Oryctolagus cuniculus: one gene and its partner. The protein of the gene in region 2 interacts with the protein of the main gene of each other region in a biochemical or structural test. Links are inferred from orthologs where the notes say so. Each region holds a gene or a part of one and is shown on either strand. Other genes may lie near its edges.

What was found. The genes of interacting proteins can lie anywhere in the genome.
Region 1: the proteins of RAD51 (region 2) and RAD52 form a complex in vitro, tested with the Homo sapiens proteins (6 studies listed by BioGRID). The link is inferred for Oryctolagus cuniculus from reciprocal best matches to the Homo sapiens genes RAD51 and RAD52.

Annotation. Positions count from the first base shown.
Region 1 is NC_091440.1:98,759,300-98,767,139, forward strand, and holds the start of RAD52 (DNA repair protein RAD52 homolog), read right to left. Parts: upstream 4,236-7,840; 5' UTR 129-4,235; intron 1-128. UniProt on the Homo sapiens protein: Involved in double-stranded break repair. Plays a central role in genetic recombination and DNA repair by promoting the annealing of complementary single-stranded DNA and by stimulation of the RAD51 recombinase.
Region 2 is NC_091443.1:63,835,382-63,843,298, reverse strand, and holds the start of RAD51 (DNA repair protein RAD51 homolog 1), read right to left. Parts: upstream 4,035-7,917; 5' UTR 3,773-4,034; intron 1-3,772.

The sequences.
Region 1 (7,840 bases), on a different chromosome or scaffold from region 2:
CCTCTGGACACCCGCAAGACGAGCTCAAACGTCTCCCCAGTGCTCCGCTCGGAATCTGAGCGGCGCCACGTTCCACAATCCCCAGCCGGAACCACGGAAACAGGACCAGCCTCCCCCTCCTCACTTACGCGCCTCCGGCAACGCGCAGTGCACGCAGGGAACCTCGTACGGCAGCACGTAAGCGACGGGAACTAGGGACGGGATGCGCAGAGGAAACTGGGAAGGAAGTGCAAGGGCACCCTGGGAAGAAGGTCTAATCCCAGCATCAGCCTCAGGGAGCCGGGAGGACGTGAGGGACAGATTTGAAAAAGCAGAAGGAGGAGCCGTAAATCAATTCGGATGGGGAGGAGAGCCGCAAAGCAGCCTGCTGGAAGACGTAAAGCAATTTAGTTGCATGATGAAGGTTTCTGTGTCGCAAACCGCTTTCTCGCCAACTTCTTACAGTCTGCTGCCGCCCGGGCTTCCGCTCACCCTCGTGGACCTGGCGAGCTCCTTCTGGGGCTGCGGCTTAATCGTAGGTCTCTTGGGGCCAAGTCTTCCCGCGCCATCACGTGTACTCAAGGTCCAGTTCCGGGCGGGGCGGGAATACCTCCCCAATAGCTCTCCCTGCACAATTGGGAAAAGCAATAGCGCTTTTAAGTCTTGTTGGGATGGTTTTTACATCCCTCCCTGGATTCCTCTCGGGACAGGCACAGCAAGCCAAACGTGAACACGCTTATTCATTCGTCACCTCCGGGCTCATCCATTCGTCACCTGGTGACGTCCTAAAAAGTGGCGAGGAGCCGAGGGGAAGGGCTAGGTGGAGACTTGGTGGAGGGGACGTCTACTTCTGAATGTCCCATGGCACAGCTCCCTGGACCTGGATGACGAGTGCACATCCTGTTAGCAATGCTCAAAAAATGGTTTTAGAAGTTGAGTCATCACACCCTAAGTACGGTACAGACGGTCATGAATGAGATTGTGGTCTGTGGAGGTATTCGTGGTAGGCGCAGAGCATCTGTACTGAGAACTCCAATAAAATCAGTGAACCCAACGGCTCACTATCCGGGCGGAAGTAATCCAGGGCCCCTACTCAGCTGGCGGGAAGCCGAGTGGGAACCCTGGAATCCCACGATGCGTAAATTATTTGTTGTTTCATAGACCATATTTCTTTTTTTTTTTTAAGGTTTTGTTTTGTTTGTTTTTTTTTTTTTTTTTTTTTTTTTTGGACAGGCAGACTTAGACAGTGAGAGAGAGACAGAGAAAAAGGTGTTCCTTACGTTGGTTCACCCCAAAATGTTCTCTATGGCCGGAACTACGCCGATCAGGAGCCAGGTGCTTCCTCCTGGTCTCCCATCCTCCACTGCCTTCCGGAGCCAGAGCAGAGAGCTGGACTGGAAGAGGAGCAACCGGGACAGAATCCGGCGCCGCAACCGGGACTAGAACCCGGGGTGGCAACCAGGACCAGAACCCAGGGTGGCAACTGGGACTAGAACCCGGGGTGCCAACGCCGCAGGCAAAGGATTAGCCAAGTGAACAGCAGCGCCAGCCTCATAGACCGTATTTCAAGTCAACCTAGAAAGAAAAGTTTATTTTTAAGATGGTGCTGAGACAATTATTTAGCTATTTAAGTTACAGTAGAATCTAATGGTGAAATGTTACACACAGATACATAAAACAAGATTTTAAAAAATAGACTAGAGAAGGATGCTCTAAGTATAAAAGTTGAAAAATAGGGGCCGACGCTTTGGCACAGAGGGTTAATACCCTGGCCTGCAGTGCCGGCATCCCATATGGGCGCTGGTTCAAGATCTGGATGCTCCTCTTCCAATCCAGCTCTCTGCTATGGCCGGGGAAAGCAGTAGAAGATGGCCTAAGTCCTTGGGCCTCTGCACCCAAGTTGCAGCCAGTTGGGGAGTGAACCATCGGATGGAAGATCTCTCTCCCTCTCTCTCTGTCTCTCTCTCTTGCTCTCCTCTGTGTAACTCTGACTTGCAAATTAATAAATAAATCTTTAAAAAAATAAAAATTGAAAAATAAGTCATAAAGGAAAAAGTATATAAATGTAACTACCTACCCAACCTTTTTGAAATTCCACTGTGCCAGCATTGTGGCATAGCACATAAAGCCACCACCTGCAAAGCTGACATCCCACATAGGTGCAGGTTTGTGTCCCAGCTTCTCCACTTCCCATCCAGCTCCCTGCTAATGCACCTGGGAAACCAGCGGAGGATGGCCCAAGTCCTTGGGTCCCTGTGACTCATGTGGGAGACCCAGGAGAAGCTCCTAGCTTCTGCATTGCCCTGGACCACTGACCATTGCAGCCATCTGGGAGTACACCAACAATGGAAGAGCCCCTCCCCCTCTCCCTCCTCTTCCCCCGCCCCTTCTCCCTTCCTCTCCCTCTCCCATCTCTCTCTCTCTCTCTCTCTCTGTCTAAGTTGAAATAATTTTTTTTTAAGATTTTTATTTAGTTTAAAGGCAGACCTAAAGAGAGAGGAAGAGAGACAAGAAAAATCATCCATCCGCTGGTTCACTTTCCAAATGGCTGCAACAGCTGAGTCTGGGCAAGGCTGAAGCCAGGAGCATGGAGCCTCTTCTGGATCTCCCAGGTGGCTGCAGGGGCCCAAGCACTTGGGCCATCTTCTACAGCTTTCCCAGGCACATTAGCAGGGAGCTGGATAGGAAATGGAGCAGCTAGGACTTGAACTGGTGCCCATTAACCCATTGTACCACAACACTAGCCCTACAAAGATTTCTTTCCAAGACTACCATGCACATTATTTATACCCTGAATATTTACTGGAAACAAAATACCACATTACAGACTCTATTAGGTATTCACCCATTAATGATCATGTTCAGAAGAATGTCTATTGACATGATAATGCTCAAGATCATTTTCTGTAGAAAAGGCAAGGCCTAAACTATGTATAAAAATACATCCATTAAAATAGCTAGTATTTAAAAAACAGAAAATAACAAGTGTTGAAGATGTGGAGAAATTCGAACCCTTTGTGCTATGCAGGTAGCAAGGTAAAATGGTACAGCCACTATGGAAATACAAAAAATTTAAAAATAGGACTACCATATATCAAGGAATGTCACTTCTGTGTGAATATCCAAGAGAATGGAAAGCATTCAAGAAATGTTTCCTAACAGCATGTTCATAACAGCATTATTCACAAAAGCCAAGTGGTAGAAGCAACCAAAGTTCCATTAACAGGTGAACTGAAAAACAAAATGTAGTAGATACACACAATTAAATTTCATTTTTATTTCTATTTTTAAATTTTTATTTGAAAGGTAGAAAGACACAGAGAGACTGAGACAGACCTTTCATTTTCCAATTCACTCCCCACATGCCCACAACAACCAGGGCTGGGCTAGGCCAAAGCCAGGAACTCAAAACTCCATCATAGTCTCCCACGTGGAACCTAAGTACTTGAGCCATCATCTGCCTCCTCCCAGGGTGAACAGGCCCTCCAGTATAGTATATGGATGTCCCAAGCAGCCTCTTAACCACTACTCATACAATGGACTGTTACTTGCTTTATAAAAGGAAGAAAATCTTGACACATGCTAAAACATTGATGAAATTGAGGATATTATGTCAGTGAAATAAGCCTGTTAAGAAAGACGAATACTGTATGATTCTAGTTATAGGAGGTACCTAAAGTAGTAAAAATCATAAAGACAGAAAGTAGAAGGGTGTTTGCCAGTAGCTAAGGGGAGGATAGAAGGGGGAGCTATTATTTATTGGATATAGAGCTTCAGTGTTATAAAAATATGTGAATTTTGGAGATTGGTTACACAGTAATATGAATGTACTTAACCCCACTGAACTGTACACCTAAGGATTTTTATGATGGTAAATTGTATGTTATGAGTATTTTACAACAATTAAAATTTTTAAAATTTTTTTAAAATTTATTTGACAGAGTTAGACAGCGAGAGAGAGAGAGAGACAGAAAGGTCTTTCTTTTGTTGGTTCACCCCGCAAATGGCCACAACAGCCAGAGCTGGACTGATCCAAAGCCAGGAGCCCAAGCACTTGGGCCATCTTCCACTGTTTTCCTAGGCCATAGCAGAGAGCTGGATCCAAAGAGGAGCAGCAAGGACTTGAACCAGCACCTATATGGGATGCCAGTGCCACACACAGGCGGAGGCTGAGCCTACAAGGCCACAGCACTGGCTCCAATAAAAATAATTTTTAAAAACTTGCCTAAAATTAAATCTATCAGAAAGCATCCAAAAAAAAATTTTTTTTGAGAGGAGAGAGAGAAAAGAGTGAGAGAGAGCTCCCATTCCTTGATTCACTTTCCAAATGCCCAAGATGGCCAGAGCTAGAACAGGAGCCGTGAACTCAGTCCAGGTCTCCCATGGGTGTGGAAGGAACCCAATCACTGAGCCCTCACTGCTGCCTCCCAGTGTGCTGTCCTGAAGGCACAACGTCATCTGTGTGGTGTCCCAGCACAGAATGTATAACCAAGTCACGAAGAGCAGACAAACGTAAAATGAGGAGCATTCAATTAACAGAAAAAATGTGTGTTAAGGGCGGGGCTTATTGGTTAGATTTGTTTATATGTACTGAGAGGCACTGCAGTCTTCAGAAGTGCCAGTATCGGGGCAGACACCCATGGCCCGCACTGGAGTACCTGAGTTCGAGTCTCAGCTGCAACTCCTAATTCCAGCTCCCTACTAATGCAGACATTGAGGGGCAGCAGCAGGGGCTCAAGTAATTGGATTCCTGTCACCCATGTGGGGGACTTAGACTGTGTTCCTGGCTCAGGCCTTTGGCCTAGTGCAACTCTGGATGTTGCAAACATCTGGGGAGTGAACCAGCAGATGGGAGCACTCTCTTCCTCTCTCTCCCTCTCCCTCTCCCTCTCCCTCTCCCTCTCCCTCTCCCTCTCCCTCTCCCTCTCCCTCTCCCTCTCCCTCTCCCTCTCCTCCTCCTCCTCCTCCTCCTCCCTCCCTCCCTCCTCTCCCTCTCTGTCTGAAATACATTTTAAATTTTTGTTAAATTAAAAATAACTTAAATCCAATGTCATAGTAATTTTGCATCATATATGTATTCATAAAAATAAGAGACAAAGGGCTGACATTTTGGCCTAGCAGATTAAGCGGCTGCCTGCAGTACCAGCATCCCATATGGCTGCTCCACTTCCCATCCAGCTCCCTGCTAATCTACTGGGAAAGCAGTGGAGGATGACCCAAGTCCTTGGGCCCTTGCACCTACATGGGAGAGACAGAAGTTCCTGGTTTCCTGGCTTCTGCTTTTTAAAAATAACATATGACCCTTGGCAAGTGTTATAAGTACAGGATACAGTATATTTTAGCCATAAGCACAATGATGAATAATAAATCTCTCAAACTTTCCCAGCTTGCATAACTGAAACTCTTTACCAATGGAACAGTTATCCTGCATTTACTCCTCCCACCAGCCCCTGTCAACCACTATTCAACCTCTGTTCCTTTGCATTTGACTATTTCAGATTCCTCATATACATGAATTTGAGCATAATGTGTCCTTCTGAGACTGGCTTAATTCATTTAATGCAGTGTCCCACATGTTCATTCACATTGTGATGTATGTCAGATTTTCTTCTTTTTAAAGCCTTAATAAGGCCGGCGCCGAGGCTCAACAGGCTAATCCTCCGCCTAGCGGCGCCGGCACACCAGGTTCTAGTCGCGGTCGGGGCACCGGATTCTGTCCCGGTTGCCCCTCTTCCAGGCCAGCTCTCTGCTGTGGCCAGGGAGTGCAGTGGAGGATAGCCCAAGTGCTTGGGCCCTGCACCCCATGGGAGACCAGGAGAAGCACCTGGCTCCTGCCTTCAGATCAGCGTGGTGCACTGGCCATAGCGCGCCGGCCGCGGCGGCCATTGGAGGGTGAACCAACGGCAAAGGAAGACCTTTCTCTCTGTCTCTCTCTCTCACTGTCCACTCTGCCTGTCAAAAAAAAAAAAAAAAAAAAAAAAAAAAAGGCCTTAATGATATTCCATTGTGTTTATAGACCACATTTTCTGGATCTGTGCTGCCGCTTAGTAGGCTAAACTTCCACCTGCAGCACCCTCATCCCATATGTTTGTGTTCCAGCTGCTCCTCTTCTGATCCAGCTCTCTGCTAATGGCCTGGGAAAGCCGTGGAAGATGATCCAACTACTTGGACCCTTTCACCCACGTGGGAAACTCAGAAGAAGCTCCTGGCTCCTGGCTCCTGGCTCCTGGCTTCCTATCAGCCCTATCAGCCTATCAATTGTGGCCATTTTGGGAGTGAACCAGCGGATGGAAGACCTTTCTTTCTGTTTATTCCTCTCTCCATCTGTGACTCTGCATTTCTCAAATAAATAAATAAAAATTTTTTTGACAGGCAGAGTGGACAGTGACAGAGAGAGACAGAGAGAAAGGTCTTCCTTTTTGCTGTTGTTTCACCCCCCAATGGCCACTGTGGCTGGCGCACTGCGGCCGGCGCATCGCGCTGATCCGAAGCCAGGAGCCAGGTGCTCCTCCTGGTCTCCCATGCGGGTGCAGGACCCAAGCACTTGGGCCATCCTCCGCTGCCTTCCCAGGCCACAGCATAGAGCTGGACTGGAAGAGGGGCAACCAGGACAGAATCCAGCACCCCGACCGGGACTAGAACCTGGTGTGCCAGTGCCGCAGGTGGAGGATTAGCCTATTGAGCCATGGCGCTGGCCAAAATAAAATATATTTTAGAAATAAAAAAGGCCACAAAATCTTATTTTTAAATTTTTGTTTCATTTCAGTATTTTTTTAATTTATTTGAATGGCAGAGTTACAGAAAGGAGACACACCCACAGAGAGAAAGCATTCTTCGTCTGATCCAGCTATCTGCTAATGCACCTGGAAAGTGAGCAGAAGATGGCCCAATTAGTTGTTTATTTATTTATTTATTTATTTATTTATTTTATTTATTTGAAATACAGTTACAGAAAGAGGTAGAGACAGAAACAGAGAGGTCTTCGATCTGCTGGATCACTCCCCAAATGGCCGCAATGGCCACAATGGCCAGAGCCAATCTGAAGCCATGACCCAGGAGCTTCTTCTGGTCTTCCATGTGGGTGCAGGGGCCCAAGGATCTGGACCATCCTCTGCTGCTTTCCCAGGCACATTAGTGGGGAGCTGAATGGGGATGCCAGCGCTGCAGGCCAGGGCTTTGACCTGCTGCGCCACAGCAGTGGCCCCAAGGTCCAATCAGTTGGGCCCCCACCACGCCCATGGGAGACTCAAATGGAGTTCCAGGCTCCTGACTTTAACTGGGCTGACCCCAATGGTTGCAGCCATTTGAGAACTGAATCAGAGGATGGAAAAACTCTCTTTGCCTCTTCCTCTCTCTCTGACTCTACCTTTAAAATACATAAATAAATCTTTTTTAAATGAACTTATCTTTTAATTCTATTTTCCCATGAACTTAAGATTTCTTTCTTTTTTTTCATATTTATTTATTTATCTGAAGGGAAGAGTCACAGAGAGAGCAAGATCTTCCATTTGCTGGCTCACTCCCCAAATGGCTGCAATGGCTGGAGCTGGGCCAGGCTGAAGACAGATCCAGGAGATTCTTACAGGTTTCCCACATTGGTGCAGGAGCCCAGGACTTGGGCCATCCACCACTGCTTTCCCAGACACATTAGCAGGGAGCTGGGTTGGAAATGGAGCAGCCAGGACTTGAATCAGCACCCAAATGGGATGCCAGCACTGTAGGCAGAGGCTTAACCTGCTGCACCACAGCGTCAGCCCCAGACCACATTTTTTTATTCATTGACCCATCAATGGACATGTAGGTTGTTTCTATATCTTAACTATTGTGAATCATGTTACTGTGAACATGGGAGTGCAGATAT
Region 2 (7,917 bases):
AGCAAATAAAGCAGGTAAATACCCTGATCATTCTGAAATCTTCAATTTAATTGTAAAGTCTATTCCTAAAATAAAATTATTATGCTAAAGTTAAGATTGGTCAGCCTGGGGCCAGAGCTGTGGCATAGTAGGTAGGCTAAGCCTCTGCTTGTGGCACTGGCATCCCAAATGGGTGTTGGTTTGTGTCCTGGCTGCTTCTCTTCAGATCCAGCTCTCTGCTTATGCCCTGGGAGAGCAGTGGAAAATGGCCCAAATACTTGGGCCCCTGCATCTGCACAGGAGACCCAGAAGCTCCTGGCTTCGGATCAACACAGCTCTGGCTGTTGTAACCATTTGAGTTTAACTCTGTAACTTTTTCTCAAGTAAATAAAATCTTGGGGCCAGCACTGTGGTGTACAGGGTAAAGCTGCCACCTACAGTGCAGGCATCCCATATGGTTGTTGGTTCAAGTCCCGGCTGCTCTACTTCCAATCCAGCTCTCTGCTATGGCCTGGAAAAGCAGAAGATGGTGCAAGTCCGTGGGCCCCTGCACCCGTGTGGGAGACCCAAAAGAAGCTCCTGGTTTTAGACTGGCACAGCTGTAGCCACTGCAGCCATTTGGGGAGTGAACCAGTAGATGGAAGACCTCTCTCTCTCTCTCTCTCTCTAATTCTGCCTTTCAAATAATAAAATAAACCTTTGAAAAAACTTAAAAAAAAAAAAAAAAAGATTGATGGGGCCAGTGCTGTGGTGCAGCGGGTTAAAGCCCTGGCCTGGGGCACCAGCATCCCATATGGGCACCGGTTCTAGTGCTGGCTGCCTCTCTTCCAACCCAGCTCTCTGCTGTGGCCTGTGAGGGCAGTGGAAGATGGCCCAGGTCCTTGGGCCCCTGCACCCACGTGGGAGACCTGGAAGAGGCTCCTGGCTTCGGATCGGCATGGGTCTGGCCGTTGCGGCCATCTGAGGAGTGAATCACTTGATGGAAGACCTCTCTCTATGTCTCTACCTCTGTGACTCTGTCTTTCAAATGAATAAAAAATAAATCTTAAACAAACAAACAAAAAAGATTGGTCAGCTTGCGGGGCTCGTGTTGTACAAAGCAATGCTGGCATCCCACTGAGTGCTGGTTCCAAGCCCCAGCTCCTCTGCTTCTGATACAGCTTTCTGCTAATGCACTTGTGAAGGCAGCAGAAGATGGCCCAAACACGGGGCCCTGCTACCCTTGGATGGAGTTCCTGGCTCCTGGCTTCTGCCTGACTCAGATGTGGCTGTTGTGGCAATCTGGGAGTGAACCATTAGATTGAAGCTCTCTCACCCTCTCTCTGTTGATCTACCTTTTAAATAAATAAATAAAACTTGAAAGAATTCTTCCTTAATACATACAAAATGTGTATATGTAAACAACTATGCATGGATTTCAAAGTTGATTTGCAACAAAATAAACTCCTTATTTTAAATTCCACTTCCCATGAACTTTCTGAGGTACCCTCTCTCATCTGAGGACAGTCTGACAGATAGGAATTCCAGGGCATGTTACAGAGCAGCAGGTTCAACACCCGCTTCCGAACACCTGCATCCCATATTAGGGTCAATCTTGTCTCCTGATTCGGCTACCTGCTAATGTGCTTGAGAAGGCAGTGGAAGACAACCCAAGTGCTTGTGCCCCCTGCCACACAAATGGAACACCAAGATAGAGTTCCTGGCTCCTTGCTTCAACCTGGCTCAGACCTGGCTGTAGCAGCCATTTAGGGGAGTGAACCACTAGATAGAGGATCCTTCTCTCTCTCTCTGCCTTTCAAATAAATAAGTATATTCTACCAAAAAAAAAAAAAAAAAAGATGAATTCCACACTTGGAGGCTTGACAGACAATGCTGGATGACCATCTGGTCTGGCTCAAGTACAGATCTCTTAGCAGCAGATTTAGCATACTGAGTTGATAAGAATGCCATGTATCAGAATCAGCTGAATGCAACAGAAAAACCTCCACTGTCTAATTTATGAAAATAGATTCACTGCAGAGCAATGGGGAAGGATGGTCATCTCAGTAAATAGTACTGGGCCGACTGGGTAGTCTTGCAGAATAAAATGGACTTGATCCCTCTCATATCACAGAAAAAAAAGTCAATTTCCAATTTAGATTACAGATTTAAATTTAAGAGGTAAAAACAATCATAACCAGACCAGGAGAAGCACCTGGCTCCTGCCTTCGGATCAGCGCGGTGCGCTGGCCGCAGCACAGCAGCCATTGGAGGCTGAACCAACGGCAAAGGAAGACCTTTCTCTCTGTCTCTCTCTCTCACTGTCCACTCTGCCTGTCCAAAAAAAAAAAAATATATATATATATATATACACACACACATATATATATAAAACCATGGGAAAGGCCGGCGCCGCGGCTCACTAGGCTAATCCTCCGCCTAGCGGCGCCGGCACACCGGGTTCTAGTCCCGGTCGGGGCGCCGGATTCTGTCCCGGTTGCCCCTCTTCCAGGCCAGCCCTCTGCTGTGGCCAGGGAGTGCAGTGGAGGATGGCCCAGGTGCTTGGGCCCTGCACCCCATGGGAGACCAGGAAAAGCACCTGGCTCCTGGCTCCTGCCATCGGATCAGCGCGGTGCGCCGGCTGCAGCGCGCCGGCCGCGGCGGCTATTGGAGGGTGAACCAACGGCAAAGGAAGACCTTTCTGTCTCTCTCTCTCACTGTCCACTCTGCCTGTCAAAAAAAAAAAAAAAAAAAAAAAAAACAAAAACCATGGGAAAGAGAAAGAATTCTTCAACTGGATACCTAGTGTGATAACCAAAAAGGAAAAGACTGAAAAACTGGGCTACACTTACACTCAGAACTTCTATCCCTCAAGATACCATTAAGAGAATGAGAAGTCAAATAAAGAAAATATTTACCATATAAAACTGATGGCTGTTAATCAGAATATAAAGAATGCCTTCAAACCAGGAGGAAAAAGATAATCAGTAGAAAAATAGGTAGAAATTGAATAGCCACTTCACAAGACGTCCAAATGGTCAAGAAACATATGAACAAATGCCTAACCTCATCAATATCAGGAAAGTTAAAATTTAAGCCACAATGAAATATTACTATTTACTAGAATACCTAAAAATAAAAAGAATGACGAAGATCAAGTGTTGGCAAGTATGTGGAAAAAGTAAACTCTCAAAACTTCTGGTGCATTCATACAAAATTCAAAAACAGCCGGTATTCGTTAATGGTATACACGGTTAACAGAAGAGAGAAAATAAGCGACAAGGGGGCAGAAGAGAGGCTGCTGGGGTGCTGACAGCATTCTGTTTGACATGCATGATTACACAGGTGTATTCATTTTGCAATAATCGCTGTATACGCTTGGGACGTGCGCGTTTCTATATTGTGTTTCAGTCCACTTTAGAAGGCTTTCTGCGTGCCAAATCCCACTTCGGAAAATTTCCTAGGCACCATATGAATGCTTTTCCATCTAAAGCATGAAAATATCTTTCTGGCAACTTAAGGTTGGTACTTTGTAAGCAGAAAATGGTGTCATGGACAGACGGAGCAGAACACGGAAATGCAGGCGGCGTGAAACAGCTGTGACTACACTGCTCAGGACAGGCGGCCGCTGGGACTCTCCACAACGAGCCCCAAGTCCGTTGGGCGCAGGCACGCCCCGGCTCCGCCATCTTCCGTTTTTTCACCAGCAGATCCCAAAAGCCGGCCGAGGGAGCACAGGCCCCTGTCTGCGCCCGGTCAACGAGAGGAGGAGCCGCGGCCGTGGAAACAGGCCAGGCCGACGACTTACACTCACCTGGGCCTAACAGCGTTGCTCGCTCGGGCTTCTGTCCGCTGATCCGGCGCACGCTCGACCCCCGGAGGGCCTCGGCCCCGACCCGAGACCCACTTGTCCACGCCTTGCTCCGGCCCTCTGCGCACAACCTCGGCGAGTTTCAAATCCAACCCCGTGACCAGCGGAAGGTTTCAGCTCCCCTCAAGACCCGGTCAACACAGCTGGTCCTGCGGGGCGGCTTTCGGAAGTCCCGCCAAAACCCTCAGGGCGGCGTCACGCACGCGTCGGCGTCGCGCCGCCCCGCCCCTCGCGCTCCGCCGGCCGCCCGAGCTCGGGGCCGTAGGGAAAGGGCTGAGGAGCTTGGCACCGCGTGGTGTTATGAGTTTCCCACCTCCCTTAAACGCAAGGACTAATCAAAACTTTCTAAATCGCCACCTTCTTGTCTTCACGAGATGGAGGACCACAACTCCCAGGAGCTGGAGTGGTGGGGCCGGGGCTGTATCTCCCGGGAGGCGCCGGTGGGCGCTCTGACTTCCGGGAGACCTGTTGGTTGTGTCTGTAGTTCTTTGAATGTGGGCTTTTGGTTCTTCTGGGAGCTGTACCCTGGAGCCGAGCGCTTTCCAGGCCCCCGACAGGGGTGGAGTTGAGGAATCTGTGGCAGATGGATGAAAATGGAGCTAGCAGAGGGGAGAAAGAAATGTCTCCGTGTCTGTCATCTGCAGTGACTTACTGGAGATTGGCAGGACCCCAGAGGAAGGAGGCGCAGAATTTGAGAAGGCAAACCTTACGGTTTACCAGGACGTTCGTCCTGTGATTCCGATTTTGAAAGCTGGGTAGAGTTTTTGGGTGAAGAAGCAAGCGGTGGAAGACATAAAAACAGTGCAGTGTGGGCTTGCGGATAAACTTTGTTCAAGGAATAATGTTGTCTGATGAGGAAGAATGGAGACCAGGAAAGTTACATTTAGTTCAAGCTAAGAGGTGTAAGGAGCTTTGGTCTTTACTTTGGGAAATAACGAAGTATTTCTTTTAAAGTCAGAGAGAAGGGGTTCTTCCATCCGCTGGTTCACTTTCTTTGGGCTGGGCCAGGCCAAAGCCAGGAGCCACGAACTCATCAGGGTCTCCCACGAGGGTGACAGGAACCCACATAATTGGACCATCATTTGCTACCTCCCAGGTTCATTAGCAGGTTGTGGAGATGAAGCTCCTGGCACCTGGCTTCAGCCTGGCCCAGCTCCTAACCTTAACGCCATTTATGCTGCGAACCAGCAAATGAAAGATCTATCTGTCTCTGTGTAACTATGCCTTTCAAATGAATAAAACAAATCTGAGAAGAGGAGGGGAACAGAGGAAGAACTTCATCCCAAGCACTCTGATGCTGGCATCCCAAGCATCCGCTTTTAGCTGCTGTGTCAGAACACTGACCCCCAAATAATTCAGTTTTAAGATGAGTCATAGGTTAGATTTACTTTCCCCCCTACTACTACTATTTTCTGTTTGTTGAGTGCTTTAAAGTTAACAGCTCACACCATCCTCTTGCCATCATCTCGTGGCATTAAAAAACAATTTCAAGAAGGAGCAGAGACAGCAAAAATCCATTCAGAAGCTTGTGCAACATTTCAGGCCAGAGTTGAAGGCTTAAGTTAGGGCATCGACAGAGAACAGATTCAAGAGCCATTCTAGACCTAGGAAAAATCTTTAGTAATTTAGTGATTAACTTAGATAGGGCCTAGGATTACAGTAAACTATTTTCCATACAAAAACTACCCACTTTCGCCCAACCCCTTGTTCATACTCTTTCAGCTCAAAAAGTCTACAAAACCACAGTCCTTTCCCCACCAGTGAGGTCACATGACTTTGACCTTTCCAGTCACAACTAAGCGACCAGCAGTGTTCATTTAATCCAAAATGGGCTATCTATATTCTTGCTCCTGAAGATTAAAATTGGGATTTAGAGTCAAGTCTAGTGAATAAATAAAATTCATTTTCTTTCTGTTTAGACCAATTACACAAATGGAAACCACCCCAACTGCATTCTGTCTCTTTTATTCTCCCAGAGAAAGGTAAGAACTATCATCAGTGGCAAATGGCAGTTGGACCAAAGCAACACCAGCTTCATACTCAGGACAAACAGCTTTGTTTCTTCCTCATATATTCAGAGAGCCTTCCCTAGTAGCTATAGAAACGATCCCTTAATGTAAAGTCTTCTCTAAAATGAACTGACTAGTTTTTAATCTCTTTCCTTCAAAACAATCCACTAAGAACTTGGAGGGGTCAGGGCTGTGACATAGTAGGTTAATCCTCCACCTGCAGTGCCAGCATCCCATATAGGCGCTGGTTCAGGTCCCAGTTGTTCCACTTCCGATCCAGATCTCTGCTATGGCCTGGGAAAGCAGTAGATGGCCCAGGTCCTTGGGCCTCTGCACCCATGTGGGAGATCTGGAAGAAGCTCTCAGCTCCTGGCTTTGGATTGGCACAGCTCTAGCTGTTGTGGCCAATTGGGAAGTGAACTAGTGGATCGAAGCCCTCTCTCTCTCTGCCTCCCCTCTCTCTCTGTGTAACTCTGCCCTTCAAATAAATAAATCAATCTTAAAAACAAAAACAAAAACAAAAACAAACAAAAAAAAAAAACAAAGAGGGGCAGGCATTTGTCTTAGCTGCTGAACCATCCATGTCCCATATCAGTACCTGGGTTTGCTGGCCAGTTCCAACTTCCTTCTGATGTAGTCCTGGGGAGGCAGCAGGGATGGCTCAAGTAAATGGGTACCTCACCTATGTGAGTTCCAGTCACCTGGATTTGGCCCTCAGCGTAGCCTAGGGGATGAGCATGGGGATGAGCAAACAGATGGGAGCTTTCTGTCTCTCAAATAAAAAATAACAGACTCTTCAGGAAACTCAAAATAGTTTTCTTTTACTGTGTTTCAGGGACGTGAGGATAGCTCTGGTTTGTACTTGGGCCCTGCCACTCATGTGGAAGACCTGGATGAAGCTCTGGGCTCTTGGCTTCAGCTTGACCTGGTCCTGGCTATTGCGGCCTTTCAGGTAAATAAATCTTTTTGATACATGGTCAAATACTCCTCACTTAATAAAGACATATTATTTACAAAGGATTTCAAGTAACAAATTTAATGTGCAAAAAATAATCTTCTTTCCAATTATTGAAAGATAAATTTCCAAACAATTTTATGAAAATAGCCAATGCTCTCAACAAAGAAAAATACAATACAAATAGGTAGGTAAATATTACAATCACATCCTCCAAACCCAAGGAAAGCAAGAGACCATCATTATAGGCCAAATCATCCTTGCAGCTAGTTCTTCCAGGTTACCAAAATGCATAAAATAAAAACCTCTACTTTTTACGACTTACAGAAGAAAGAAAACAAAACTCCAATAAGAAAGCTAACTTAAGTTTCATGGGAAATTGGACCATACTTATAACTTTAAAAGTTTTTCAAGGATTATACTATTATATTATATAGGGAACACATATTAGTTTTCATAGCAAATGAATTTTGACTTTTGAAGCTTAAAAGACCATATGATCTTTGGACTTTATATCAGATGTAGAAACCAAGAGGGAAGATAATACTCAAAGGGACCCACAGGACTTTAACCTGATCCTAAGTAAACAGTAAATTTTAAGACAAATCAGTTTAAGAATGAAAATATTTTTGTTTAGAATTAAATATAAGAGAAACAATTATCATGATTAGGATTTGACAAAAGTTTGGGTAAAAGCTATTTCATATTTGTCTACCTCATAGATAATATTGGTCACTTAATAATCAATGGATATGCTTATTTTTAAATGAGGAGGGTGTACTTTCAGGAAAAATACTTATTAATAAGTTTATCCAGGGTGTGATATTGTGTTATGTCATTATTTAATAAATGACAATTGATCTTTTTGCTATTAAGTTTCCTGAGAAAGATGGAAACTAAGCAGAAAGGTATTTCTCTATCCACTATATGATATATACATCTTCTTACTATATCACAAATACAACATTAATATATTTACATACATACTGGGCCAAAATGAATTTACTCTGCTTAAAAAACTATTCACTGGGAAAACAATAGACATCACAAAATAAAAAGCAAGGCCCTCAAGAAAAGATGGTAACAATTCAAATAGCTGAATACTATTTGCTTTTTCTTAACAT